Rhinolophus ferrumequinum: one gene and its partners. The main gene of each other region encodes a partner of the protein of the gene in region 2 in a complex. Links are inferred from orthologs where the notes say so. Each region holds a gene or a part of one and is shown on either strand. Other genes may lie near its edges. The genes, in order: KAT5, EPC1, MEAF6 and MORF4L2.

Region 1 (7,497 bases), on a different chromosome or scaffold from region 2:
TCCCATCCACACTAATTTAGATGCAGCGGAGGGAAAAGGGAAGGGCCCGGACCTCTTCACATGGCGGTGCTTTGGTCACTGGGCTAAGCGTGTCCTGCTGCACGCAAGGGGCGACAGAAGCTCCGTACTGCGTCCGCTATCGCGGGCGGACCGGGCCGAGAGCTTCTCGCTTCCAACTCAAACACCAGTTTAAGGTGCATCACACTGCCGGCCCTCGGTGGCAATGGGTTAAGCATAAGGCGCCCAGGGGTATATCAACTGGAGCCTCGTCTCTGCCACCTGACGCCTGTTATCTGAGAAGGTCCGGAACCCCCAGGGGCCGCTTAGAACTCGCCGTGTCTCGCCGCCGCACCCCACGCCGCCCGTCGTCTCCCTAGGACCTCCTGCAAGGGACCAGCCGTCGGCTAAACCATTTCCACTGATTAACTGTCATGTGATTCCTCAGGGGGATATTGTCCCCAAGTTCAAGCCCTAGGCGGCGTTCGTGCGGGATGAGGGTGGAGGCTGGGGCTGGAGCACCCTCCACCCCCGACCGGTTCCTCATCCCAGAATGAGGATGCTCCATCGCAGGCGGTGGAGCCTTCTCCAGATGGAAAAAGACTTTATTTTCTCTGAATTCGTTCTAAATTAAGGAATCTTATGGGAATTGGAAAAGATTGGAAATTCTGACTTGCTTTACCAGGCTCTGAAAAAACAGGAAAAGAAAAGTGAAAATAGTTACCACCCCTCCCACTCATTTCAGTTTCTCCTGTGGCTGGCCAGGATTAGGAAAGTCAGTTTACTTTTTTGAGGAGGCTGACTTTTCAAGTCCACAGAATGGGTTACTTATAATCTTTGGTTAATGACACACAATCATCATTGATCCTTGCATGATCCTCTTTTAAAAAATTCATATATATTTGTAACAAATCAATAAATTGAATTGTTGTGCTGACTGTAAAACTCAAGGGGCTGAATAGGACACCACCAGAACTTACATCTATCTCGGTGCTCCACATCTGTCCATCCCCTCATCCCGGTGTCCAGGGCACCACCATCTAGAATTCTCTGTTTGTTATTCCCTTGACGTTTTTTTTTAAAGAAAAAAAATTTACTCATATACATGGCTACACAAATATGTTGCTTGGTTTCGCTTACTTTTGAACTTCTATGAAGAGAGTATCTTGTTTTTTGTTACTTGCTTTTCTCACTCAACATATTACTAAGGTTTATGTTTCATAGTTCATTCACTTTTTACTGCTACATACTATTCTGTTGTGTAAATACACCGCAGGTTATTTATTTATTCATCCTGCGGATGGCCATTTGGACTTCCAGTTTTCACTATTACAAGCAGTGTGGTTAAGAACATTCCTGTGACTGTCTCCTGTTGTACATGTATCCAGGAGTTTTCTTCAGTATATACCTAAAAGTGATTTATTAGGGTATAGAATTTCCCATTATCAATTTTCAAAATAATGCCTTGGTTCTCTAGCATCCTCCAAAATTTAATGCATGCATTTTAAAAAAGTCTTAATGCATGGATTTAAACACTTGATATGCTTTAATCTGTTTTAATTATTCTTATTGAAGTTCAAATTGTTCCATCTTTGGCCACTGGGAACCTTCTGAAGTTGGTTCTTCGGTCCTTTTGACACAATTCCAATAGTGTCCAAGATCTGGAATCAGACAGCTTTCTGAGGAATTCTGATTCCTTTTACTGGGAAATGGTATTTAGAGACCACAGTCTGAGTTCTAGGGATACTTATTGCTAGTGGGTCAATCATTATGGACCTTTTCAGTGAACAGTTAGGCAATATATATGAGTATGTATATTTTTATATGAAATGCACCAGGAATTCATACTCATATCTCCTTTTCAAGTTTAGGACTACAGGGTTTTAACTTAACCTCAATCATCTTACATATTCTCTCATGTCAAAAAAATCTCAATTCTCTTTTTACAGAAATAGAAAAATCCATCCTTAAGTACATATGGAACCTTGAGGGACCCTGAATAACCAAAACAATCTTGAAAAAGAAGAACAAAGTTGGAGGAGTCACACTTCCTGATTTCAAAACTTACTACAAAGCTACAGTAATCAAAACAATGTGGTACTGGCATAAAGATAGACATATAGACCAATGAAACAGAATAGAGAGCCCAAAAATAAACCCTCACATACATGGTTGAATGATTTTTGGCAAGAGTGCCAAGACTGTTCAATGAAGACAGTCTTTTCAACAAATGGTGCTAGGAAACCTGGCTAGCCACAAGCAAAGGAATGAAGTTGGACCCTTACCTAACACCATATACAAAAACTAACTCAAAATGGATTGAAGAGGGGCAGCCAGTTGGCTGAGTTGGTTAGAGCACAGTGCTCATAACACCAACATCGCCGGTTCAATTCCCACATGGACCAGTGAGCTGTGCCCTCCACAACTGGATTGAAAACGACTTAACTTGAAGCTGATGGGTTCTGGAAAAACACAGTGTTCCCCAACATTCCTCTTAAAACATACATACATACGTACATACATACATATATAGATGTAGCCGGCCCGGTGGCTCAGGTGGTTGGAGCTCTGTGCTCCTAACACCGAAGGCTGCCGGTTTGATTCCCACATGGGCCAGTGGGCTCTCAACCATAAGGTTGCTGGTTCGACTCCCGCAAGGGATGGTGGGCTGCGCCCCCTGCAACTAACAACGGCAACTGGACGTGGAGCTGAACTGTGCCCTCCACAACTAAGATTGAAAGGACAACAACTTGACTTGGAAAAAGCCCTGGAAGTACACGCTGTTCCCCAATAAAGTCCTGTTCCCCTTCCCCAATAAAATCTTAAAGAAAAACAAAACAAACAAACAAAGAAAAAAACAATAGCTAACAGGCAACTAGTTATGGCAGCTAAGGTGCATCTAAATAACGAAACACTATGTAGCCATTAAAACTGTGCTGTAGAATATTTAATGACTAGTGTTCAATTTATGTTGCTAAGTGAAAAAGCTGGTCACAAAACAGTATATACAGGAAGAACCTATTTTTGTATTCAAAAGATAGCACAATAGTTTATAGAGCAGGGGGTGGCCAACATTCTCTGTAAAGGGCCAGATAGTATTTTAGGCTTTGTATTTCAGACACAATTATTCAATTTTAGTGTGAAAGCAGTCATAGACAAAAAGTAAATGAATCAAAAGTATGGCTATGCTCCAATACAACTATATGTGGACACTGAACTTTGAATTTCGTAATTTTTATTTGTTGTGAAATATTCTTTTGTTTTCTTAACCATTAAAAAATACAAAACCATTCTTAGCTCACTGGCTGTAGGAAAACTAGCAAAGGATTGGATTTGGCCTGCAGGCCTTAGTTTGCCCACCCCTAGTTTACAGGACATTCTACCAAAATGTTCATGGTGGAAATGTCCCCCATGATGATCTGAGGTTATTTTCTCCCCCTACTGTGGTCTAGTTTTCTGAAACAGTACTCCGCCCCACGTCCCCTGCACCCCCAACTATTTGCAAGGCTCTTCCGTTGTTCCCTCTCTAAATCTTTCCTTAAGTATATACACTTCCATCAGTCCTGCCCTCAGCACCCTATTTAAAATTGCAACCAACCTGCCCATCTCCTTTACCTTGTTCATTCTTTTTGGTTTCTCCAATCACTTTTGAATAAACTAAGTAATTTACTTTTTAATATATTTACTTTTGTTATATAAACCCAACCCCCAACAATGTAAGCTCTATGAGAGCAGGGTTCTATTTTATTCACTGATGTATTCCAAGATCCTAGAACAGTGCCTGGCACACGTTACATTATTAAACATTTGTTCAATGTATGAATGAATAATGTTGTATTACTTTTATAGTGAGAAACCTAATACAGAAAACAATCTAGAAACCTTCCGTGAGTCCCCATCCTTAACGAATGAAATCCACAAACTTGGCCAGGCATTGAACTCCCTTCATAGTCCCGCCCACTTCTCCAGACCCGCCCCCCCCCGCCCCCGCGAGCACTCGCAGTTCACAGCGAGTGACCTCTCCCACCGCCACTTAGAGACGCTGGAATCCCGCCACCCCCAAAGCACAAACACTACGCCCACGTGACCCGCGCTGCGTCCACGTGACCGGCGTCGCACCCGGTGGGCGTCACGTGACAGACTCAGCTTTCCTCCAATCGTTGTGCCCGTTATGGAGATTCCTCCCAGGACCCAACCCGAGACTTAAAACACCCTATTTTCCCGTCCCCCAAACAGGTCGGTTCCCCGCTTCCAGCTGGGCGGCGGTGTATTTCAAGGGTCTCTTCTAAGGCGGTGTCCGGTGGTCCGGGCCTACTGCACACTCAGTCCCGGAAGTGACGTCTCCCAGAGGGGCCGGAAGTGTCAGTGGAGGGAGGGAAGATGGCGGAGGTGGTGAGTCCGGTGCCCGGGGCGGGGCGGAGGGAGCCAGGGGAGGTGGGTAGAGCCCGAGGCCCCCCAGTAGCCGACCCTGGCGCCGCGCTGTCTCCCCAGGGGGAGATAATCGAAGGTTGCCGCCTGCCGGTGCTGCGGCGGAACCAGGACAACGAAGATGAGTGGCGTGAGTGACGTCGGGGGGCGGGGCTAAGAACCTGAGGGCGAGGGGCGGGAGTCAACCGAACCCTTGGGAGGGGGAGGGGCTTCGAGAATTCTGGGGCAGGCGGGGCGCAGATACTCAGGAGGGGCGTGGCTTTTAGCCACTCCGAGATGGACAGGGCGGAGCGTGGAGAGGGGTTGGCACTGGGTGACTAAAGGGGGCTTGGGTGATAGCTTCCAAGTGCTGGGGCTTAGAGATCAGGCCTGGGGGTGGAGTTCAGGTCTTAGGAAGGTGGAGCCTCATGGCCTGGCGGGTCTAACGCCCCTGCCTATGCTGTTCCCACAGCCCTGGCCGAGATCCTGAGCGTGAAGGACATTAGTGGCCGGAAGCTTTTCTACGTACATTACATTGACTGTGAGTGCTGGGCCAGGGTGAGGAGGGGCTGCAGGGTAGGGTTGGGAGGCAGTCTCTGGCATTGCTTCCTGAGACATCCCCACTGCTGCAGTCAACAAACGCCTGGATGAATGGGTGACCCACGAAAGGCTGGACCTGAAGAAGATCCAATTCCCCAAGAAAGAGGCCAAGACCCCCACCAAGAACGGACTTCCTGGGTCCCGCCCCGGCTCTCCAGAGAGAGAGGTGGTGAGTAGGTCCCCTACTTCACCTCTTCTCTTCTGCCTCCTACTTCTCTCATCTTTTGGCCTCAGTGGCTCCTGGATGGGCTGGAGCAGGCCACACCCTCCCACCCTGGCTTCAGCTTGTAAAGAATGGGGGCCAAGTTGCAGATGTAGCTTCTAGAGTCCAGCGGCTATTCCTGTGTCCTTGAGAGGGCAGCGGGTGGGGTTTGATCACTCCATGCTGAGGAGCCCCTATTCCCCTTCCCCATCCTACCACCATCCCCACCCCAGAGGAAGACCCTGGACCTATCTCTACAGCCGGCCTCCACCCAGGCCAGCGGGAAGACCTTGCCAATCCCGGTCCAGATCACACTCCGCTTCAACCTGCCCAAGGAGCGGGAGGCCATTCCCGGTGGCGAGCCCGACCAGCCGCTCTCCTCCAGCTCCTGCCTGCAGCCCAACCACCGCTCAACGGTACCCTCAGCAATTCCAGGGACCTTGCTTTCCTCTCAGGTCCCACCTTCTCTACCTTCTGACCCACCTTTCTTGGTTTCTCTCTGCAGAAACGGAAGGTGGAGGTGGTTTCACCAGCAACTCCAGTGCCCAGCGAGACAGCCCCAGCCTCAGTTTTTCCCCAGGTGAGTCCTCCAAACCATCTCTTTCTTCTACCTCCCGGTAGCCCCTTTCAGACTCACCTCACAGCCACCCTTTCTGTTCCTACCATCTCACCTACAGAATGGATCAGCCCGTAGGGCAGTTGCAGCGCAGCCAGGACGGAAGCGAAAATCAAATTGCTTGGGCACTGATGAGGTAGGTCTGGGGAAGAGGGAAGCTGGATGAAAAGGAGGAGAGGTGGGCGGGGTGGCAAGTTTAGTGGCTAGTTTAAAAATAAGGAGTGTTGGGCAGCCATGGTGTTGCTGGGATTGGGAGCCAGGCAGAGCTGGTTCAGATCGGTCATTGGGTGATCTTTCCCAAGTTTTGAATGAAAACTTTCCATGTCTTGCATTCTTTATCTGGAAAGTGGGAACTATAGTACTTCCCTCGAAGGTTAGGCTTGAACAAGGAAACGTGTGGGGGAGCTGTAGTGTTTCCCGTAACACGGTGTCTTCCACTGGCCCTGAGCAGGACTCCCAGGACAGCTCAGATGGAATTCCATCAGCCCCGCGCATGACTGGGAGCCTGGTGTCCGACCGGAGCCACGACGACATCGTCACCCGGATGAAGAACATTGAGTGCATCGAGCTGGGCCGGCACCGCCTCAAGCCGTGGTACTTCTCCCCGTACCCACAGGAGCTCACCACGTTGCCCGTCCTCTATCTCTGCGAGTTCTGTCTCAAGTATGGCCGTAGCCTCAAGTGTCTGCAGCGCCACTTGGTATGAGGGGTCCCAGGAGGCCACCCTCCTAGCACCCCCACCCTGCCCCACCCCTGACCTTTCTCTCTTCCTCAGACCAAGTGTGACCTGCGACATCCTCCAGGCAATGAGATTTACCGCAAGGGCACCATCTCCTTCTTTGAGATCGATGGACGCAAGAACAAGGTCAGTGGCTGAAGGACAATAGGGAAATCTTGGAGCTGGGGTTCGGGGAAAGTCAAATGAGCACCTTGTTCCTATTCAGGAAAACACTGAACAGTCTGGCCAGCAGATCAGTTCACCCATTTTTATTGAGTTCTTGCTGTAGGGCAGGTGCTGGGAGGTATAGACAACCAGGAATTGGATAAAATCTCTGCTGAGAGCTCACAGTCCATAGGGAAAATAGACGTGCCAACAGTGTGATAAATGTCATGAAACAAAGGGTGGCTTGTTAGGACCCAGAGGAGCTAGTCATCAAAGCTTCACAGAGAAGGTGACTTATGAGCCTTGACATAAAGAATAAGGTGGGCAAGGGAGTCCCAAGCAGTGGGGTCCTGAAGGGCAGGCGTGGATGTACAGGTGGTGTGACAGGCAAAGACCCTTCTGGCTGAAGGGCAGAGAGAAAGAGGCAAGGCTGTTAGAAGGGACAGAGCTCAAGTGGTGGGTGGGAATGGCAGTTGGAGAGGAGCTGGGAACACCATAGGCTTGGCGCTTCAAACCTGCCTTAGTCTATGGCTGTGGAGAGGAAGGAGTAATCTGGAGGGACCCTTAAGAGAGACTTTCCTCATTCCTGGGGTCCAGAGGGTGCTGGGGGAGAGGCAGGCATCTTGACTGGCGGGGGAGAGCTCTGGCTTGGGTGCTGGGGGAGCTTGAGAGGAAGTTGCTGCTTTAACTGCTGGTTCTATATTATAAGTGGGGACTTGGGCGTCCAAGTGACAGTGCCCAGCAGGTGGTTAAGGAGCCATGTCTGGTGCAGGAACAATTGTGTTTAGAGGT
Region 2 (7,727 bases):
GCATATATATATATCGTATATATCTATCATATATATGATATAGAGCTATATCCTAAAGTTAATTCATTTACCTTATTCTTTGCTTTCAGCATACAAACATGCTCACATCTCTCCCACCTTCAGAAATAATAAAACCAGTGGCCTGAATAGCTACACCTCCCTCTCCGTCTCCCTTTCCCTCTCCCCTCTTCCCGCCCCCTGCTCCCCCCATTGCCAAGCCTCTTGAAAGAGTAGGCTACAGTCAACATCTCTCTTTCCTCACTTCCAGTTCATTCCTCACTTTACTTTATAATCTGGTTTCTGGGCTCCACTCTGGAACCAGACACCAGGTATTCTAGCCTCAGCATTGCCTCCCACTAGCTTTGTGACCATAGGCAGGTCTCGCAACCTCTCTAACAGGACACACCTCGTAGGGCTGTCACAAAAATTGTACATTTAAAATGTACTTCTGCATTGCCTGGCACATAGTAAATGTTCAAAAATGGTAGTTATTATTCTTACTGATTAAAAGTGTAATAGGAATTCACAGATGAAAAACATTGGTATAGGCTTAAGAATTATTTTGAATTCACCTACCCACTCACTCATTCTTCAGATTAGGAAATTAGGACTCAGAGAGGTTGAGTAGTCAAAGAAAGTTGCATGAAGGAGGTGATAGTTGAGTTGGATTTTGAGGGATAATAACAATAGTTGATATCTACTGAATGTTTTCTGTGGGCCAGAGACCATTCTAAATGCTTTACATGGGTTGTTTTATTTAATCCTCAAAAATGTAAGGTAGCATTTCAGTAGAAGTAGATGGTCTGCAGCCAGACAGGAAGAATGGAGAGAAAGGAATGAATAAAAACCTGGAGGCAGGAAAGACATGCTGATTTCTAAAGATGAGGAGCTTGTCTTAGGTGGTGATGAGAAATGTTGTTGGATATACAGCGAGGCAAAATTATGAGGCTTTGACAACTATACCAAAAAAAAAAAAAAAAGCAAAGGCTTTGTGGAATAGCAAAATAAAGAGCAGTTATAAATAAATGACATGGGGAAGGGAGGATACAGATGGAGGTGGGGTTTTGGGCACTTGGATTTGGTGGCATGCATTATGAAGCCCTGAAGGCAGTTTGAACTGTGTTCTTCATAGTCCCAGGGACCCACAGCTTGTACTAGCCACTGTGGGTTCCCTTTAGCCACTATTAGGAGAGTACTAGCATAGTTTCTTGTAAAGTAGGAGCTTAATAAAGGTTTATCAAAGTAATGAATTAAAAAATGGATTGGAGGTTGTTTGTAGGTAGGACGTGATGAGAACTGAGATATGATTAAGACAATGGGAATGGAAATAATGAGTCAAATCCCAGAAACAATTTTAAGAAGAAATAAAAGGACTTGGGCACATATTGGACATAAACTAACATGTAGAGCCATACGTCAGGTTTATTATATGCAGCAAACTGCAGTGCATTTGACACATTCTATTTTGTTGTTTAAGCAGAAGTTCTGTATTTGATACAAATTGAAATGAATCACATTTCAGGGTAATGATACTATAAGTAGTTTCATTTTTACCATTAAAACTTCTGTCTCTTTACTTTCTACTCCTACTCCCTCCACCCAAGTTCTTACCAGTTTTACCCGGATTGTTATTGGAGTTTCCTATGAACTCTGGCCAAGTAAACTTTCTCATCTTCAAGCACACCTGCCAGTTTCCTCCTCCCACCATTTTGTTCACACTGTTGCTCTGGACCATGACTACCCTTTCTCCTACCATTTCATTCCCATTACCAGTTGGGATCTTAGTCATTCTTCACAACCACATCACCTGCTCACTTCTCCATGTCTGATCAATCCAGCTAGAACTGACTGCTTTCCTTCTGAACTCCCTGACTGCATTTCACCATGCTGCCTTGTTCTGGTCATTTGATTAACCTTTATCAGTATTTTTATTTATATCCCCTACAATGATGGTACTGTGTGTTGCCTAGGTATTCAGTAAATATTTATGGCATGAATCAAAAGTATTTTAAATACTGCAAATTCCTTCCCAACAAAAACTTTCCCTTTGAGGAAAGGTTAGTGTATTCAGTTTTACGCTAGTATGCATCTTTTGTACCATTGAGAATTTTATGTCACCATTGTTGGAGATACTTAGAAAAAGAGGGAACTTTAGGGGAATAAAAGGAGTTAACGTGAAAGACTGTGCAGGATTAGCCATTTGTGCAAGGAAACTTTTGGTTAGATAAAGGAAGCTCAAGAAAATTAAACCTGAACCTTTATTGCTGCACTCCTGCCCCTTAGAAGGTAGGGAAGTAAACTGAATATAAGAGGTTTGGGACTCCAGCCTTTGGGTCCTTGGGAACCCAGTAGGACCTGGAAGTCAGAAATCCAGAGCATTGAGGCTGGATGAGGAACCAGTGCAGAAAGAAGATGCCTCCTAGCAGGCATGTTATCTGCAAAAAGGGCAAGCTTAATTTGTAAGCATATATCTCAACTTGCTGTGGAGGGTGATGCTACAATTTCTAGGGAACAAGAAACTTAGTTGTATAGTGCCCATTATTACTAATGCAGGGTGTGGAACATGTTATCTGTAGGCTGTTATTTTAATGAAGGTTAAATATTCTATGTTCGTTTCCTTGGTGGTTCACTCATGACTTAAGACTACTTTGTTCTATAAAGTCTTAGGTTCCTCAAGCAACCAAATTCAACTAGTAGGATTTTCAGAAATCTAACACAGTCGGCTGAAGAGGACTGCTGTACTAACATTCAGCCAGAATTTTCAGAACTGTTAAACCTGGCTTGATAGGTGTCTTATTCCACAGTGCAGTTGACAATTCTTGAGGATCCCAGACTGTGACATTGTCTCTCATGACTTGGAGTCTTTGCACATGCTCCTTCCCTTGCCTAAAATACCTTTCATCTCTTCATTTTTCTGCAAGGTTAACCCGTACTTATCCGATGTATTTTTTTCTCAGATATCATCTCCTCCAAAAAGCCTTCCCTGAATGCTTTCATTAGAGCCACTCCCCATGGATTGGGTGCCACTCCTGCCTGTTCCCACGATTGCCTCACATCAGTTGTGGCAGTTGCCATCCACAGGTCCTTCTCCCACTGTGCTAGCTCCTCCAGGAGCCTTATGGGTGCTAAGTAACCAGCAGCATACTTAGGCCATGAGGGCCCAATAAATGTTTTTCATTGAAAGATTAAGTGCACAGTCTTAGTATAGGAAGTATAAATGGAAATCCCTCTGCCTCACAGAGGTGAATTGTCAATATTAGAGTTTTAGGATAATTTTGGAGAACTCCAGTCTCTGCTCACCTTGTGTCTTCCCCACCAAGGTGTAGCTAAATCAGCCTGAAAGACAGCAGTGTGCCTATGGGCTGTAAGCTAGTAACAGTTCCTATCCAACCCAGTATTTGAGTAATGATTATTTTTACTATGTAGCCTCCAGGGAGAAGAGCAGACTTAAAGAAACATTTTTGTATCTCAGTGAACATATGAAATTTTGCTGCCAAACTGATTAAACCCATCCCATTAAAACAGTCTTTCTGATTTTTAAAATACTCTGCTGGAAAGAGCTCTCTGGGCATAACCGTTTTCGTGTGTAATATAAACCAAATATTAACAATCTAGCACATGCATCTAAAGCTCTCTAATACAGCTTTTCCTTTACTCTTTTTCGGTTTGGCAGGAGCACTACAGATCTTTGTATGATTCAATTTTATAAAGTTTTTCAGAGAATAAATGGTGTCAATTCATTAACTATGTTGAACTAGCATTTTCTTTCAGTACCAACAAAAATCATGAGCTACAAATGGCTCTAAAATTTTGAAGGTCTTACTTTAATTTTTTTCTTAAACATTTATCTGATAATAAATATCCCCTTTGCTTCAATTGTAATAAAAGAGTGAATATGAGTAGATAAAATGCAGGATTAAAAAAAAACCCCTACTTTATATCAGAGTAGGGTAACAACCGTTTATATTGAGCCCGATAGGTGGGAACTGACCAGTGATTTGTTGCGGAGCCTCTCAAATATTATAATCCATTTTCCTTAGACGTAAAAATAATTGCTGGCGAAAGTTCACCTGAAGTAGCATTTTGCCCCTAATTTCGTTTGCATTTTGTTTTAAGGACCTAAAACGCAGCGATAACTATGTATCACCCACAGACTGCCATCGGTGCGCAGCGCCCCCGGAGCGCCGCTCCTAACCCCACCGCCCACGGCCGTGGCCTCCGGCATCGCCCCTGCCCCGATCCCGGCTGCGAGCGGGGGTGACAGGTGCCGGAGCTCGCCTGTCCCGGGCAATAGCGCCGCCCAGCCAATTCTCCCGCCGTGGCCATTCGGAAAGCCGGCGTGCGGTGCACATAGTTTCCCTGCACCTTCGCCTGTCAGCAAACGGCGCTGGGAGCGAGCGAGCGAGCGTGAGAAAGTGAGCGAGTGCGGGCAGCGAGAGGAGGCGCGGGGAGTCGGCTCCCGGCGTCCGAGCGCCCACTCCGCCCCGGCCGCCTCCAGACCCGCAGAGGGCGGGGGCCTCGAGCAGCCAGGCGCGGACAGCGCGGCCGGCGGGCGCCGGGGGTTGGCGGGACGCGCGCTCCGTGCCGGCGCCCGCTCGAGCCCGCGCTCCCCCCCCCCCCTCCGCGCCCGCGTGCCCGCGCCGCTGCGCGATGCAGTGTGGGGAATGGCTGGGGTTGGCTGAAGAGCGCACAGTGGAGTTTTAATGTCCGCCATGTTGGCCATGGCGTATTGAAGAGAGCGAGCGAGAGAGGAGCGGAGCGGCACAGCCTCCCACCCTCCCGGCTGCTGTTAGTGCCCGGACGGCGGGCTCTGCGCTCCGCCCCTCAAGTCCCCGGCAGCGGTAGGCGAGTGGGGACCGAACCCCCGGTTCTCCATGATCCCGCTGGCCGGGGCCGTTTCCCCAGAGCGGAGAGGTATCTGCTGCGCCTGAGATGAGTAAACTGTCGTTTCGGGCGCGGGCGCTAGACGCCTCGAAGCCGCTGCCGGTTTTCCGCTGTGAGGATCTGCCCGACCTGCACGAATACGCCTCGATAAACCGGGCCGTGCCGCAGATGCCCACCGGAATGGAGAAGGAAGAGGAGTCGGTACGTGTTAACTCCCCTGTCCGACCCACCGCCAGGCCCCGCTCCCTCTGCTGCCTGCGGCGGCGGCGGAGCAGCAAACCCACACAAAATGGCCGCCATCTTCTCTCCGCCGCCGACTCTCAGTCGCCGGCCGGGCCTTTACCCCGCCTCCCCCGGCCTCGACCCCCAGCCGCCACGGCCCGGCGGGGTCTCCACTGAGGCCACCCGCCGACCCCGGCCACTTGTACCCGGGTCCCACGGAGTTCGGGAACCCAAAAGGCACAAAGGGGTCACGTGACGAAGCTGCCGGCAGCCATTTTGTGGTCTCAGTTGTTGGGTTGGGCCTTGTGCATCCGGAGAGGAACGGGCTGGGTGGCGGTGGGGGTGCGGCGATCCGGGAGCCGGGGAGGACCCGCCTGCAGGCCGCTCCGCGGGCCGCTGGGTGGCGCTCTAGGGCCACCTCGGCCTTCGCGCGCTGCCGGCGCCGGGGAGCGCAGATTCTGTGTCCTGTAGGGGTACTTCAGTTCCCGGTGGCGGGGAAAGCTTGTGAGGCTCAGTGCGGCCCCCACGTGGAGCTTCACAGGGGCATGTAATGTTGACTGTAGGTCTTTGAGGCTTGTATCTCCTTCCCTGCAACGAAATGTCGAGGGTACTGCTTGTTTGCCCAGACGACTGACTTTCATAACATGTAAGACTCATTTTCTGTATCCTCGTTCTGGGACTTTTGCATCCATCCCTTCCCAAGTCTAGTTAGTCGGAGGATATATAAACGTCCCTGAGTTTTCCTTTGATCCTTGAGAGTATGTTGCAGGTTTTTCTTCTGTTTTTTTTGGAGTGCGTGGCTCTTCTAAAACATGTAACTTCATTATTATTGGGTTTTTTTAAAAATAAAATTTAAGTTCGCATGCTTTCTGGTTTCTCAACGTGGGGAGAGAAAACACCCAATTTAAGTAGATGTTACAGATCTAAATTTTGAAAGAGGGACTTTTCTCATCCAGAATCGAACTGAAGTGAATTCATTCACAGAAATCTTAACATCGAGATACCTAATTTAGGTGGGTTTCAGTATTTAAATATTTACAGCTAATAGACATTTGATCATAGCTGTGGCTTTACCTTGTTATAGAAGTTGGGTTTAGACACAAGGATAATAGAATCTTCCTCTCATTTCCCCCAGATCCTTGACAGTATAACTTGATGACTTCTAATCCTAAGGAATTGCATTCCTTGGTTTTCAGGTACAGCCATTTAAACAGGGTGCAGTGTATTGACAGTTCAAGGAAGTCGAGGAGTCGCTGGATTTGTGTGCTACAATTTTGTTGTGGAAAATTGTACTGTAATACCTCTATTGGTAACTGTAAGAATTTTAAATGTGGAAATTATGCTCTGTAATGTTGATTTTGAAAATAAAGCTGTTTAAACTGTTTGGGTTGTTCAACCTTTTAAAGTAAAATAGTTGTGACAGTCGAATGTTACTTTTGAGAGTAGTGTCTGAAATCTAACTACAGATAAGCTAAGTGTTAAGTGTATGTAGTAGTTGAGATTGTCGGATGTAGTACCGACTTGCAGCACATTATGAGACAGAACTCTAAATTTACTTGTATCAACAGAGTAGAATGGTGCCATTTGTTCATTTTTAAATGAGTGATTTGTTTTTAAAAATTAAAGTACTTGTGACTGCAGAATGTTGTCTTTTGGTTTTATTTTTGTTTCTATTTTTAAGTTTTACAGATAATACTTGAAATTTGGGGTATTGGTGTTACACTGCCCTGGAAATTAATTTGTAGTTCTTGTTTTGCAGCCAAGGAAGGGGAGAACCCTGGTAAAAGCAAGATAGCACTACAGTACACTTTAGAAATTTATTTAAGTCTTGCTTTAGTTAAGTCTTGGAGAGGACCAAGAGCTACAACCTGAAATCAAAGCTGAGATCAACTCAGGTAGCAATACGCTTGTTAAATATTACAGATAATTTTTTCTTCACTGAAATACTTTGACATTTTATAGCGCAGTGGATCTCATTAGTTTGTAACACACGTGGAGTCTGTTTGCGGGCCATAAGAGATTTTTTTTTTTCCCTTCACTACCTTTTTCTATCCTCTGTTTCACTTCACATCCAACCAAAACTATGATCAGTGAAGCATAGACCTCAGGAATAGATACTGAACTTAATAGAAGAATATAAACAGTACCAGGTAAACAGCTGTTCTATATTCCTGTGGCTCATGCTGGTGGTAGTGGCTATATAAATCACAATATTGAAAGTAGCATGTTACACAATTAAGAAAATGTGTACTAAGCATAAATAAACGTAATTGAATTCTGACTAAACCTTAGAGAAACAAATTTTTTTTTAATAATTTGTTGAAGCATGATTTACTTATAAAGACAAAAAGTTTAAACAAACTTTTGCCTTTGACACATTAGTTGGGGTGTCTCTTAGGTTGAGTGACCTATAACCTTAATTGAGTGTCTCGTTTAGAAAAAGCATAATCCTATGTTGATCATGAAAGATGGGACAGTTTTTGGATAAGAACAGTTTTGTATACACCACTTCATTAAGAAAGTATTTCATGAAATGATCAAAATGTATCTGCAAAACTGTGAGGTGAACTATACCTGGTAATTTTTACCATAGTTTGTTTCTATGGTAAACTTGAGAGAAA
Region 3 (7,256 bases), on a different chromosome or scaffold from region 2:
CAAATGGGAAACAATTTTAAGACAGTTAATTTGTTCACATGTACTCTAAAGTTTTACAGTGAATTAATTCACTAAATCAATAGTTGCATAAGCTTACCATGCTCGCATTTGATTTACAGCTGTGAGTTAGAAGCAGGGAGCAATAATTTAGAGGTGGGCTGCACCATGTGCAAGAGATGGCATTTAAGGTATGCCTTAGAAATGAAGTGGATTTTGCATCAGTAGAGGAGGGCATTGTTTCAGACTGAGCAGTCCAGGGGACAGCAGAGCTGGAGTGGAGGATGTGGAAAGGATCCTGTAACATTAAGTTGTTTACCTGAAGACCCACAGCAAATTAGTGGTAGAGCTAGGATGAGAACCCACCTCAGTCCTGGTTCAGTGGTCTTTCCTCTGGACTGTGGCTTCCCATCTCCCTAGCAGAGCTTAGTGAAGAGATCTGAGGAGGGAAAAGACAGCTGGTGCATTAGGCTGTCCATTCATAGGGGGTTCAAGGAAATCACAATGGCTGGGATTTCCAGGGATAATGAGGGGCTCAGGCAAATCCTCACCTCACCAAGTCATAGCCAGAGCTGCTTGGAAATCATTATGTTGATTCATAAAAGTAAACAAATGTTCAATAATCAGGTAGCTGAGAATTGCCATGAACTGAGACCTCAATGATAAAACTGGCTAAAACTTAGGCGTACTTTCTATGTATAAGGCATAGTTTTAAGCATTTTACATGTACATTGATGCATACCTTGATACCTTCACACTTCTTCCTCATAATCCTACGAGGCAGGCTTCTTTTATCATTTCATTTTGCCGATGCAAAAACTGAGGCACAGAGTTGTTCAAGTCACACAGTGGTAGGTAGGACCGGGATTCAAACCCAGTCACCCTGGTTCCAGATGCCACATGCTTAACCACTGTGATATACTGCTTCTTAGAGCCATGAGAGTTAACAAGATCTGGCCGTCAAAGAGCGATATAACCAGTGCTAGAGCTACAAACAGTGCTAGCGAGGAGAAGCAGTGGGGATTATGGAAGAGAATAAGTATAAGCACAGAGAATAAGCACAGAGAAATAGTATTCAACCAAGCCTTAGTCAGTTACTCAGAAGAGGCCAGTGGGGATGAGGAAAGAAAGGAATATGAATTTCTAGGCAGAGAGACTAGCACTCAGAAAGATCTGAAGTAACAAACTAATGAAACTTTGGAAGCACTTGAAGTTCAACAGGGAAAAAAGGGTGAGTGAGACTTCTTTCTGGTTTCTGAACCCTCCTGCTTGAAAGTAGCTAAAATTTCTGGATAAAATATAAGCAAAACAATTTCTTAAAGCATTCAAGAACCTACAAATTAATAAAACAGTTGTTAGGCAAAAAGTGAAGATAAATAAGAATCCAGAGAGAAATGGACTGTAGATGTCTGGAAGCCACATTTGGTCTAAAGGCAAACCACATTTGATTCTAGGAAATCAGATCTTACCCTAGCTTGAATGGGACAGAAATCAAAACCCAAAGCCCACAGGCAATAGTCTAATAGAACATGATTCCCACAAAAAGCTGGTCTATCAGAGGTCTATAACTTTTAGAATAAAAGAGTGGATCAGAAATTGAATCTTCCCAGGTATTTATAGCCTGGAAGCTCAGGAAACCTCGGGCCTTGAACTTGGTTTAGGATGACCCGGTGCCTCCAGGTGTCTGAAACAAATGAAATTCATCTTTGGAGGAAGGGACTTTTTTATCTCCCCTCTAGTTATTTCCACATTTCCCCCCAAAGATACAATTATTTTTATTAATGAACAAGAAAAGGCACTATAGGTGAGAAACAACAGAAATAACGGGTTGGCCCGGTGGCTCATGCTTCTAACTCCGAGGTCGCCGGTTCGATTCCCACATGGGCCAGTGAGCTGCGCCCTCTACAGCTAAGATTGTGAACAACGGCTCTCCCTGGAGCTGGGCTGCCATGAGTGGCCAGCAGCCAGCGTGAGCCGCTAGATGAAATGGACCAATTCTTCAAAAACCATAAACTACCAACATTTACCTGATAGGAAATAGATTATCTGAATAGTCGTACAGATATTAAAGAAATTGAACTTGTAATTAAAAAGCTTCTGAAAAGAAATATCCACACCCAAATGGTGGAAGAATTCTACCAAACATTACAAGAAGAATTAGCACCATAGTGTACCTTCTTTTCTAGAAATTAGAAAAACAGAAAATACCTCCCAACTTATTTTATAAGGCCGTTATTATTTTGATACCAAAGTCAGACAGGAAAGTACAGACCCTACACACCAATACCCCATGAACTTAGCCACAAAAATCCTCAGTAGAATATTAGCAAATTGAATCTAGCAATATATAAAAAGAATTACACAACATGGTCAAGTGGGGTTTATTCCAAATATGCAAGGCTGGTTCAACACTTGGAAACGAATCTGTGTAATCCACTACACCAAGAGGATAGAGAAGAAAAATCACAATCTGACAAAATTCAGATTCAGGAAAAGAATCTGACAAAATTCAATACCATTCATAATTAAAAACTGTCAGTAAACCAGGAATAGAGGCGAACTTCTCAACTCGATAAAGAGCATCTACAAAAACCTTACAGCTAACATCACACTTAATGGTGAAAGACACTACTTTCCTAAGACAGAGAAAAGGTTAAGGATGTCCACTCTGACCACTCTTATTCAACAGAGAACTGGAAGTCCCAGCCAGCACAGTAAGGAAAGGAAAGGAAATAAAAAGCACACGGGGTGGAAAAGAAAAAATACAACTGCCAATTTGAAGAGGAAATGATTATCTGTGTAAAACATCCCAAGGAATCTACAAAAACACCTCCTGAAACTAATAAGGGAGTTCAGCAAGATCCCAGGTTACAAGATCAACACACAAAAGAAATCCAGACTGTAGCAGAGAGAGACAAAAAAGATAGTGGGTAAACAAAATGAAGGATTATTATGTTTAATCTAGAAGGAGACAGAAAATGAGGCAGAGGCATTATCTGAAGGAAAAAAGCTGAGAATTTCCCAGAACTGGTGAAAGATACCAAACTATAGATTGTAGAAACCCAAAGACTTCCAAGTAAGGGGAAAAGGAAGAAACGAGGAAGGAAGGAAGGAAAAAGAAAGGAAGGAAGGAAAGAAGGAAGGAAGGAGAAAGGAAAAAAAGAGAAAAAAGAAGAAAAAAAATCCTATCGAGATTAACGATAGTGAAATTTACATAACTGAAAATTGGAGAGCGCTGAGGCTGGAGAAGCAGGGCCCAGGTGAAAACAGTGAAGGAGACTGCACTTAATGAATAAAGCTAACACTCACATAGTCCTTATTACTTGCTAAGCCCCTTTACAGACATAAAGTGATTTACTCCTCACAGCAATTGTATTAAGTAGGTACTATTATTACCTCCATTTTAGAGATAAGGAAGTTGAGACAGTGAAATTTGGTTACTTGCCCAAGGTGGCTCAGTTTATCAGTGGCAGCTAAGGTCGGATTTTGAACAAGGTAGTTCTGGCTTCGGTTTTCGTTCTTAACCACCACACATACAGTACTTGTCTCTCTAAAGGGCAATGAGAAGCCATTGAAATGTTGAAACCAGGGGAGCGACACATTCGTTTTCCAAAAACAAGTTATCCTGGCACCACTGTGGATGAGAGATTAAATGCAGTTTAAGTGTGGAAACAGGAATCTGTTGGAATAATGTAGCCAAAAATAGGGAAGGCCGGGATGCCCGAGGGAGATGGCAAACACAAGTAAATAGATTTGCGGGCTCTTCCAGGGTCCAGGGAACTTCGTTTTGTATGGGATGAAGGGGGTGAAGGAATGAGGCTGATGCCCAGGTTTTTGACTTGGGCAACTCGGCGGGCCGTTTAAGTCATTCGCTGATGTGACTTAGGAGGAGTCTGGTTTTGGCACGGTGAATTTGCAGCGCCTGGAAAAGTCAGCCGTCCCTGAGGGGCAGAAATGCCTGTAGTGCCAAGACTAGCAGATTGCCCCACCACCGCGGGCCTCCAGGTGAGCGCGCGCGGGACCGAGGCCCAGAGCGCCGCCAGGCCGCGTCTCCGGAAGCCGCGAGCGCAGGCGCAGTGCGGCGCGGGCGCCCCCTGGCGGGCGGCGGCGGGCAGGGACCGCCCCCACCACCCGGCGCCGCCGCTGCCGCCTCAGCCCAACATGGCGATGCACAACAAGGCGGCACCGCCGCAGATCCCGGACACCCGGCGGGAGCTGGCGGAGCTCGTGAAGAGGAAGCAGGAGCTGGCGGTGAGGGGCTAGCACCGGGGACGCACGGCGGAGGATCCGCGCCTGCCCCCACCTCCAGGCCCCAGCCCCGGCGCGCCAGGCCGTTAGGGCGCTGCGCGGCGGCCGACAGTCCGGCGGCCCGAGGCTGGGCTGCGCATTCCGCGGCTCGCCGGCGCCTCGGCTTCCTGGCTATGCGGGAGCCCGGGCCCCGAGGGCGGGGCGAGAAGCCAGGAAGAGGAAGGAAGACGGGGAAGGGGGACTAGGCGGGCGGGGGGCGTGGAGGAAGGATGGCGCGTGGGGCTGGGGTGCTTAGGTGTGGGAGCCGCAGAAAGGCAGTGTCCGTGAGCTTTGGGGGTGGGTGAGGGCGGGCGGGTTCGCAATCTTTGAGTGGGGGGGGCGGGCGTGTCGGTGGGCTGTAGGGGATTGGTTCGGGCTTGCCTGTGGGCTTTGGCGGGGTGGGGTAGGAGGCGTCTGTGGAAGGGGGACCCAGTCATCCAGTCTGGTCTTTGGAGGATGGAGGGGCGCATGTCCTTTTGGGAACTAGGAGTAGATCCATTGGATGGAATTTTTGATGGGCAGGGATGTGATGTGTTTGGGAATATCTAGAAGGTGACAGCCGAGGGGAGCGGATTCAATCTAGGGAATAGGAATGTGACCCAAGGTCTCATGCACCCTGGTGGCTAAGCCCTCCCTACCCCCCTGAGTCTTGGCTTGGGCACCTGGGAGGCTCATCTCACCTGAAGCTGCCCTTCCAAGTTTCCATAGCAACTGGCTGACCATTGCAGGCAGCCTTTTTGAGCCTGCGGGGAGGGGAGCGACTTGGCGCTGGAAGGCTACTCGCCCTTCCCTCCCCACTGGCATTACCTTTTATGAGTGGAGCCTGCCTGAGCTGGGGTTTTTGACAGCTGTGTTTCCATGAACCCTCTGAAGTATACACAAAATTTTGCATGTATGTACATTTTTCAGGGGACAGGCTCTCTATATTTCATTCTATTCTCAAAAGGATCCAACAAGACAGGTCTAGACTGTCTTAGTCTGAAACAGCTTGTCCCTTCACATACCATCTGTCTCTCCACAAGGGTAGTTGAGTGTAGTTGTGCTTGAGTTTCTAAGTCTAATATTAAGGTTTCAGTTTGGTCAGACTTAATGTTTGCATTTAAAAGGCATTATCCGTTTCCCTGTTTTTCATCTCTCAGGAAACACTGGCAAACTTGGAGAGACAAATCTATGCTTTTGAAGGAAGCTACCTGGAAGACACTCAGATGTATGGCAATATTATTCGTGGCTGGGATAGGTATCTGACCAATCAAAAGTGAGTGTCAGAAAGAGTACAGTGTTTGTACTGTGACCTACTAATACTTGTTTTTAATGCTGTATATATTGGTGGCAACTTTGCAGGGAGGCAGAACTAAGTAGCAGTGTGGAAAGAGGTTTGCGCTTGAACTTTGCACTCTGGCTCAGCCTCGCTGAGTCATCCTAGACAAAGCCTACATCCATAGACTGGTCGATAGTACAGGGGTGTGAGAAGCTGAAATGAAATACAGCCTATCCTACCTTACACAACAGCATTCTCTTAGTGTCTTCCACATTTTAAGCAGTCATGAGTTCCACCGTCACAATATTTGCCAGACCTGTGTGCCAACCCTACCACTATTTATTTAGTGCTATTAGTCTTGAAAACTTTCTAAACTTTTTGAAATTTTTAAAATCTATAGAAAAATGGAAAGAATAGTACATGAACACTTGAAACCCTTCGCCGACATTCACCGATTAACTTGCTGCATTTACTTTCTTGCTCTTTTCTCTTTTTCCTCACTATTATATAAACACACATACCTGTATTTACATTTTAAAAACATTTTGTTTAAATTTTGAAATCATTATAGATACGTAGGAAATTACAAAAATACTACAGAGAGGTCCCATGAACCCTTCACCCAGTTTTCCCCAGTGGTTTTTGTGTAACTATAGTACAATATCAAAACCAGGAAATGAACGAGTACAATGTGTGTGTGTAGTTCTGTCATTTTATCATTGTGTATAGATTCCTATAACCACCACTGCAATCAAGATGCAAAACTGTTCCATCACCACAAAGATCTGTTATGCTACCCTACCCCTGTGTGATTGTATCTCCCTTTTGCCCTATACTTTGGGTTTTTTTTTTCCCTAAACCATTTAAAAGTTAGAAACAGATATCATGACACATTGTCCCTAATTATGTCAGCAATTATCTCCTAAGAATAAGAACATTTTTCTTAGTTAACCACAGTTATCATGTCTAGAAAATTAGCACTACATTAAAAGTATCTTCTAACACACAGTGTTTATTCACATTTCCCTAATTGTCCCCAACATGCTTTGCTACCTTGTTTTGATCCAGTCAAAGTTTTTCATTGCATTGATGTTTCTTTGGTTTCTTAATAAGAGCGTCTTCCACCCTTTTTGTTGGTGAAGTTGTGGTTTACAACATTGTCTTGTAGATTGTCCCAATTCTAGATTTTTCTTACTGTGACCTCATGAGCGATCCTTTAAACATTTTTGGCAGAAATGTTGCATTAGTGATTTGTGTACCTCTTGTTTACCTTTATTTTATTAGGCAGCACATAATGTCAGATTGCCCCATTATTGGTGCTGCTAAGTTTGATGATATGATTTCTCCATTATGAAAGCTTATTTTTTCTCTTTGTAATTGACAAGTAATTTTGGAGCTTATACTTTTAGACAGTGGGAATATATTGCTCCCCACAAATTTTATTCACTGGTTTTATTATACATTGTTGATTCCTACCTGAATCAGTTATTATACTGGAGGTTGCAAAATGGTGGTTCTAATTTTACTGTTCCTTTTACATTTATTACTGGTATTCTGAAAGAAGAGCCTTCCCCTTTTATCTTCTCTCCCTTTCATTCTATCTCTGTCTCTCTTTAGTATCACTATAGACTCGTGGATTTATTTTTAAATCGGTGTTGGGATCTAGTGCTGTCACTTTTTTATTGTTGAGGTTTTATTTTTTAGTATAAATTAA
Region 4 (7,946 bases), on a different chromosome or scaffold from region 2:
AAGTATCTTGCCTAGGATCATACAGCTAAGTGGCAGAGCCAAGATTTAATTTAAATTCAGTAAGTCAGCATTTGCTCTTAATCACTAAATTATGCTGCATATGGGATGCCACAAAGTAAGAAAAACAATATATGGATGTATGGAACTATCAGGGATCAATTGTAGTATCTTTTATCAAGGAATGTAAAATTACACAGTCCTCTGTTTTTTAGGCACTTTATATACTGGAAGCACCAATGGACTCAGCTCCACCCTACTCAGAATTTAGAGTGATTTCCCAGATAGACGCTTATTAATCTTTAAAATATTCCTGGACAGTTAAGAAGGTTATGTGGAATGATCTTGCTTGAGAACTGAGGCCAGGAGAAGGGAGACACTTACCTAAGATTCTGTAATCAGGATCAGATCTTCTGATCCTTATTATACAGCAAACTTAGCTTTTCTGATAATGGCCTAGAAGGTTAAACAAGGGGACGGGAAAGGGCACAAAATAAAGAGATATGAGATGATGGTTTTCTTCTCTGTCAATCAATGCATTTTATCACACACAAAGGGCACCAAAGCTGATAAATAATGTACAAGTGTTTCTTTTTCAGTTCTTGTGGTTACATTTTCAAATTTATTGTATCTATCCTGATTTTTGATAAAGTAATTTGTTTTCGCTTTTGGTTTTTACTTTTCATTAGGGAAAATGTGAAATGCATAATATCTGAAATTATGTAGAAGGAATATTATAAACCCACAAGAATCTATCATCTAGCTTCAACAATTACCAACTGAAAGCCATCTTGTTTCATCCATAACCCCACCCACTGCTCCCCCCAACTCCGTTTTTAAGCTCACCAAATAACTGAGTTTCTGTATTTTATGGGAAATTTCCAACACATACCAAGGAAGACAGAACAATATAAGGAACTCTATATGCCTATCACCCAGCTTAAACGATTAACTTAAGAGCCAATTTTGTTTCATCTATACCCCCCCAACTTCCCCCTATTGCTGAGATTATTTTGAAGCAAATCCTAGTCATCAACGTATTTTGAAGCAAATCGCAGACATTTTATTATTTAATCCGCATTTTCGTATATATCTCTGTAAGATAGAGACAGTTTGAAAACATAACCACAATACCATTATGACGTCTTAAAAAATCAACACCCATTCCTTAAAAACACATCAAATATCGAATACGTATTCAAATTTTCCCGATGCATCTTAAACATTTTTTTTTTTTTACAGTTGGTGTGTTTGAATCAGGATCCAAACAAGGCCTACTCATCGCATGTGGTTCATCTCCAGCTCGCCCTCGTTCTCCATCTTTCTCCCCCTCCCCCCTTTTTTTAAACTTTTCAATATGGAAAATTCCCATCCCCGCTATTTTGAGGTAATTCCCAAATAGCATATTATTTCACCAATAAAGATAGTTATGTTTCTCTTATATCTCTAGTTTCTTCTAGGGAATAAGTTGATGGGCAGGAAAAGCACTATAATGAGCAAATTTACATAATTTGTTTTTTTCTCATTCTGTTACGCAGGTTTTTCTGTCCACAATAACAGTTAACATCTTTCGGAGCCAGGCTTCCCATTAAGTGCTTTATACGCACTAATATACATAGTACACGCCTCTGAGGTACACGTCTCTGAGGTAGATACTATTATTATCACCATTTTACAAACATGGAAACCGAGACACAGAAAGGAGCCAGCCCGAGCTGGGCGTTGGCGAGTAGGAATCTGAATCCAGCTCTGCCCGATCGTGAAGCCATGAGTTAATCTTGCCTAGATACTCGACGAGAAGAGGAAATCGTCAACCCTTTCTCCCCACCCCCACCCCGAAACCTGAAACGAGAATCCAGCTCTTTCCAGCAGCCGACGTGTGCTCACTGCCGTCCCTCGAACCGCCATAGTAAAGCCAGGTTTCTCTGGCAACTGATATCCATAGGCAGACACGTCACCCTGGAGGCGGGCTCATGACCTTCAGCCAATCACAGTCGTCTTGTCTAAGTTTTAGAATGTTCCATGACCAAATGATTGGACGAGGCCAATCACGTCACAATGACACTTCGCCGCAGTATAAGGGGGTGCTAGCAACCTGCTTCTTCATGGTTAAGACTTGACGCAAACCAATCATCTTCTCCCTGTAGTGCGGCTCTGGCCAATAACGTTCACCCTCTTAGGTTCTGAGCCCACCCTCCAAAATCGCAACTGTAGTTGGGTCATAAGTCTATAGGGCAGGGTGTTCACGTGGCCTATTTTCACGACCCAGAGTTCCCCTGACCAGAGGTTCTTTTTTTCTTTTTTTTTTTTTTTTTTTGCAGGGAGGCATTATGGGTTTTCATTCCCCCCACTGGGAAAGGAAGTGTCTACGTGGCCTGCGGAAACAGGATGGGCGGAAATGAGCTAAGGTTCCCGCGAGTGGGGAAGCGCGAGGTCAAATCTGGGGCCACGCCCCTGAACCACTTGCGCAACTCTTGGAGAAAAAGAGGCACAACGGGGGTGGTGGGCGTGCGGGCGCGTGGTGGTGGGGCTAGTGTGGATGTGCGCGGACGAGCTCGCGTGGTCTTGGGATTGGGGTGCGTGCGCTCCAGCCCTCGTGGCGCTGGACGCGGTGGGTATGCGCAAGCGTGCGCGCCTAGAGTCGGGGCCGGTGTGTCCCAGAGCGAGGATGTGCCTGCGTGCGTGTGCGTGCGCGGCGCGTGTGCGTGCTCTATACTGAACATTTTCTTATGTTTGAAAATTGTTCTAATGAAAAGGAAAACAAGCCACGGCGCCCATCATAAATAACGGGCCTTTGTTAGAAATATTTCGGTCTCCCCTATCGATTCAATTTTAGACCCTAAAAAATGTACTTCTCACTTTTTCCGGCCACAATCCTTTTCTAAACCGTAGCCCTCCGATGGTTAAGAGCCAAACAAACCCACGCATTCCCATATTAGCAATTCCAAGGAGCAGCTTTTCCTGTTTGCTAGTATCGTTCTTCCACTTCTTCCCCGAACCCCCCCCCCCCAATTCCGTGTAATTTTTCTGGCACAAACAAAATTTTCTGCTGAAAATATCTATACGATAGGCTTCCCCTCCACTACGAGCTCCGAATTTCTGTGGCGGCGGAAGCTCTCACCTTTTTGTCCTGATCTCCAAGCACAGTGCCCTTTAAGCAAGTACGCACTCAGTTAATTTTCCAGAAAGTTCTCTGGGTGAGGGTTATACCTCTTGAGTCTGCCACGAGGTGCCGCCAAATCCCAGCAAAGAATTGCCTATTTGGTCCCTGGAATGATGGGATTTTTATTCTCCCCCTTTCTGATTTCTGAACTCTTCAATCTATAGGGATCATGTATATCTTTCATTGCTAGGGAAAATCAAATTAGCTTTTATAAATAGCTCTAGACAGGGGACTATGGCCCTAGATCTAAAGGTTTTTTCATTTCTTTCCTCCTTAAAAAAAGCCCCCCTTCCATCCCTCTCTTCTTCCTTCTTTGCCTTTTCTTTTGGGGGAGGGGGGACGGTAAGAATTGATGAATGTCACCAGACACTAACGCTGATGAAGATCCTAACCTTTCTGTGCACTTTTTCAAATGCTCAATATCCCGTCCCCCCCCCCCAAAAAAAAAAAGAAACCCCAGAAAATAACAGGTGGCTGGTTAGTCAGTAAAGACAGATAAGAGCTTGGACCCTGGCATTGAAAACTGACCTTCTCTTCCTCTTGAAATTTTTATTAGATATGTGTGTTTGCGCCCTATTTTCTGTAGTGGTACTGCTAAACTTTATTACGTCTTTGGAGTCAGAGACCTAATTTTAAACCCCATTGCACCACTTACTAGCTCTGAGAAGCCCGGGCAAACGATTTATGTTCTGTGTTCCTTAGGTTTTTGCATGCTTTCCATATTTTAGATGCTGTGTCATATCCTTTACATATATGTTATTTTATTCTTCACAAAATCCTTATTAGATGGGTAATAAATCAAAATCGAACAACAAAAGTTATACCTCTTTCAGTTATCAATCATGCGCGCGCGCGCGCTCGCACACGCGCACACACACTGGGAGGGAGGCGGGATTTAGAGCAGTGGTTCTCAGTGTGTTTCCCAAACACGTCAGTACCATCATTATCACTTTTCGAGAAGTTGTCAGATTCAGATTCTCGGGCCCCATCTCAAACCTAGTGGATTAGAAATTCTAGGGGTAGGGTTTGGCTGTCGCTGTTATAACAATCTGTTTGGGTGATTGCAATGCACACTGAATTTAGAACCACCGCTTTGGAGGGCAGAGATGCAGTGCTTATTTTTCTTTGCTCCACTAGAGGGTGCTACAGAATTTAAAGCAAAATAATAAATGATATATGTTTTATTGAGATACCCTGCATATTATCAGTCCCGTTATACAGATTAAAAACTAATGTGTAGAGGTGTCAAATTATTTTCTCAGTGCATACAACTATGGGAACCAGGATAAGAATTTCACCTGTTTCTCGAGCCCAAGCCCTTGACAGTACTCTTTTGTTCAGCCATCATAGCTTATCTTTCTGGGCCTTAAAATACATTACAGATACCTTGTTCTCTGCTTTAGCTATGTTGACTGGAGCATCAAGAAGGGGGCAGGAAAGCAAACTAAATAAATGGAAATATTTTAATGATTTCATACTTTCCCTCATCTCCATTCTATACTATCACATTAAAGCTCATGTGTTTCCCTTCTTGCTTTTATATTTCCCAAATGCTCTCTACCCTGCAGTTATCTTTTTTAGTTTATTTCTGAACCTCTCCTATGTGTGTGTGGGGAATCAGGGTGGTGAGGAAACACAGTTGTTGCAAGCCTATTATGGGCCACACTATATGGCTCTGTGCCCATTAATCCCAACAATAGGCCTGTAAATTAGGTAAGGATTTTCATCATTTTATAGATCATGAAGGTGAGCCCCAGAGCCTATAATTATTTTTCTTTGGTCATATAACTTGTAAGAAATAGAGCCCGGGTAATTCCTGGTATATCTGACAGTACTACCCTGCTAAACTTTCTACTGCTTGGTTTTCAATGTGATTTAGTGTCGTGCGCAGAGTCCAGCGGGGTCTCTGGTCCCGCTCCCCACACAAGAACGCAGGATATGGCTAGGCCAAAAAGGAACACCCACGGAGCCATAGGTAGGGGAGTCACACCACTATACTCTCACTGGCGGCTGGGTTGGAGACACAGGAACCAGGAGCAACACAATTCTCAACCCTCACTGTGCCGCTTGCAGGCTCAGCCACCATCTTCTTGCTAGCCCCCATTTTCTCTTTTTGCTACTAGCCTAGCCACGGCAGTTATATTCATGGCTAATGGCTCACTGGTTACAGCTGATGGCCAACTAGCCACAGCTGCTGGCCATTTGATCACAGTCAATGGCCATTTACTACCTGAGCCAGCACCTTTCTATGTGAGGCCGAGAGCCTGGAAACTGCTTTTTGGGGCTCTGTCCCCACATTTAGTTACTTAATATTTATGTGACTTCCAACAAGTTCTTTAACTTTCCTGAGCCTTAGTTTCACTGTATATTAAGTGGGAATAATTATTCCTCATAATCTTAGAGCTGCAGTATCCAACATGGTAGCCACTAGACATATGGGTACTTAAATTTGAATTAAAATTAAAAATTCAGTTCCTCAGTTGCACTAACTACATTTCAAGGGCTCAGTAGCTACTTATGGCTAGTGTTAGTACTGGCGGGTCCCTGGGCAGGCCTCCCCAAGATAGCTCACAATGGCATATTGATTATTTCAAATTGAAATCACTTGAGAAGCAGCAGGAGCAGGAGGAGCTCTCTGACTCTCCAAAAGCAGGAAATAAATCTCCATGTAATAGGTGCTCTCCCTTCTCCTGAGGGCTAACAGACAACCTTATCACAAGAGTTATAAAATCCAGAATCAAAAAAGCCTATATAAACAAACTTTGTGAATCCTTTACTAATTTACTACTTAAGCCCAAACTGCTTAGATTCCTTTCTAATGAGCACTAACTTTCTTTGTCTTGTTCATTGCTCACAGAATTATTGTTTCTTTGTCTAAAAAAATAAAAAGGTGCCTAGTTTGATAATTTTTTAATTAAACTTATTGGGGTGACATTGGTTAATAAAATTATATAGGTTTCAAGTGTACAATGCTATAATACATTATCTATATATTGCATTGTGTGTTCACCATTCAAAGTCAGGTCTCCTTCTGTCACCATATATTTGACTTCCTTTTGAGCCTTGTTTTGTGACCTGAGCATCATATTGTGATTCTCTCGTGTGCACGTATTAAATTGTTTTTTTTCCCTGTAAATCTAGTCTTGTGTCAATTTTATTATTTTACTGTTGGTCCAGCTGTAAGAACTAAAGAAGGGTAAAAGTGGGGGATTCTCCTCCTCCCCAATGGTACCATATTAGATACCAAGAGATAAAGAACATTCCCACCATGACAGAAAGTTCTATGGAACAGTGCTGATTTAGACTATATAAGGTATGTAAAAGGGCCTAGCATAGTGCATATTCATGGCATGTGCCCAAGAAAAGTGATTCCCTGATCTTTCCTTTCAGCATCAGAGCTAGGCAGGTTCTCCGGTTTTATTGATAGGGTCAGGAGAGGGGAGTAACTTACCCAAGGTACTATAACGGGGATGCGTCTGCCATTAGGACCCAAATCTCCTGACTCTCGCTTCCATATTCTGTCTAGTAGACTCATCCTTGTGCTCTACTGACTGAGGTCTCAAGGCCAAGGGTGTGAATAATGTGAATTAACTTCCGAGTCAGGGTAGTAGCAGGAAAAGACACAGCTGAATGTCTTCTAGGTATGTGCCAGGCAGCACTGCTCAGCTCTTTACATCGATTGTCTTAGTGAATCCTCACTGAAGCCCAGAGAAGTTAAATGCTCACTCCAAGTTGCCAGCTAATAAATGTCAGAACAAAGATTCTGACTTCTCTCTGACTCCCAAGCCCATGTTTTTGTCCCATTGTGCCATGTTACCGTCTCAAATGTGAATACTCTCCTGTCCCTTCCACTTACTAGTGGGATGAAGCTTCAGCAGATTCCTGACTCTTAGTGGGTCCTCAAAATGGGAGTTAACTCTTCTTTGGAATTTACAGCTGAACCACTGTCTTCACAATCTGCTTCAACTGGAAGGGAAAGATAGCGTAAGTCAATGTTTGTTTGGCTTCAAGGCCTGAACAAGACTATTTACAGCCCCAGCCTTTACAGAACATTCAGTGGCTCCAAGATCTCTATGTCACTTTTCGAGGCCACATTTGCTCATTCAATCCCTTTGTGCTGATCAGAAGCATGTGACACCTGGGGGGCAGATATTGTGCAAACAAATGATCAGTGGAACAATGAGAAAAATACTTTTCCTTCTCAGGGATGTTGGAGCTTCACCAGGGCAGCTGAAGAATGAATTTCAACCTCCACTTGTTCCATTTCAGTTGGGTAATCTTGTGCAGGGTGCAACCTTCCCTGGCCATCAGTATCTGCTGGCTTTGCGTATCTTACCTCGCGGCTAAGAGAGCCTTCCTAGGTCTGGAAAGTAGTGCTCAGTCTGTTCTGGAGGGTGGTCAGGGACATCAGTGTCCTCGCCTGTCTTCCGGGTGGAAGATAAAATTGCTCCCTTCTAAGGTCAATTGGATATTTTTTCACTTGGTTCTGACTACTTTATGGGATGATTTTTAAAAGAATGTTTGGTTAATTTAAGTTAAAAAACCCTAATATTTCAAGGCTAAGCAGAATGGTGTTTCTTTAATAGTAGTGTTTTTCTATCTATTTATACCTGCCTCATTCCATAGGGATTTCCTAAAACCAGTTCAGCAAATTAGTCTGCTTCAGTCTAGTTTGCTAGCCCAGGACAGACAGGGCAAACAATGGAAATCGTCTTGGGAACGTTTTATATCCTTTTAGTGGTATCCATTCTCTCTCAGCTACTCTCTCCTCCTGTAATCAACCCCC

What was found.
Region 1: EPC1 (region 2) and KAT5 share a complex: the UniProt entries of both Homo sapiens proteins name them as parts of the nuA4 histone acetyltransferase complex. The link is inferred for Rhinolophus ferrumequinum from reciprocal best matches to the Homo sapiens genes EPC1 and KAT5.
Region 3: EPC1 (region 2) and MEAF6 share a complex: the UniProt entries of both Homo sapiens proteins name them as parts of the nuA4 histone acetyltransferase complex. The link is inferred for Rhinolophus ferrumequinum from reciprocal best matches to the Homo sapiens genes EPC1 and MEAF6.
Region 4: EPC1 (region 2) and MORF4L2 share a complex: the UniProt entries of both Homo sapiens proteins name them as parts of the nuA4 histone acetyltransferase complex. The link is inferred for Rhinolophus ferrumequinum from reciprocal best matches to the Homo sapiens genes EPC1 and MORF4L2.

The regions. Positions count from the first base shown.
Region 1 is NC_046294.1:6,048,555-6,056,051, reverse strand, and holds the start of KAT5 (histone acetyltransferase KAT5), read left to right. Parts: upstream 1-4,362; 5' UTR 4,363-4,377; coding exon 4,378-4,555; intron 4,556-4,876; coding exon 4,877-4,945; intron 4,946-5,036; coding exon 5,037-5,173; intron 5,174-5,439; coding exon of another isoform or gene 5,440-5,466; coding exon 5,467-5,622; intron 5,623-5,711; coding exon 5,712-5,786; intron 5,787-5,883; coding exon 5,884-5,958; intron 5,959-6,273; coding exon 6,274-6,522; intron 6,523-6,597; coding exon 6,598-6,687; intron 6,688-7,497. UniProt on the Homo sapiens protein: Catalytic subunit of the NuA4 histone acetyltransferase complex, a multiprotein complex involved in transcriptional activation of select genes principally by acetylation of nucleosomal histones H2A and H4.
Region 2 is NC_046288.1:3,683,494-3,691,220, reverse strand, and holds the start of EPC1 (enhancer of polycomb homolog 1), read left to right. Parts: upstream 1-4,645; 5' UTR 4,646-4,932; coding exon 4,933-5,085; intron 5,086-7,727. UniProt on the Homo sapiens protein: Component of the NuA4 histone acetyltransferase (HAT) complex, a multiprotein complex involved in transcriptional activation of select genes principally by acetylation of nucleosomal histones H4 and H2A.
Region 3 is NC_046292.1:26,210,986-26,218,241, reverse strand, and holds the start of MEAF6 (chromatin modification-related protein MEAF6), read left to right. Parts: upstream 1-4,095; 5' UTR 4,096-4,158; coding exon 4,159-4,248; intron 4,249-5,423; coding exon 5,424-5,539; intron 5,540-7,256.
Region 4 is NC_046284.1:51,249,095-51,257,040, reverse strand, and holds the start of MORF4L2 (mortality factor 4-like protein 2), read right to left. Parts: upstream 3,138-7,946; 5' UTR 3,119-3,137; intron 2,023-3,118; exon of another isoform or gene 1,840-2,022; intron 454-1,839; 5' UTR 382-453; intron 1-381. UniProt on the Homo sapiens protein: Component of the NuA4 histone acetyltransferase complex which is involved in transcriptional activation of select genes principally by acetylation of nucleosomal histone H4 and H2A.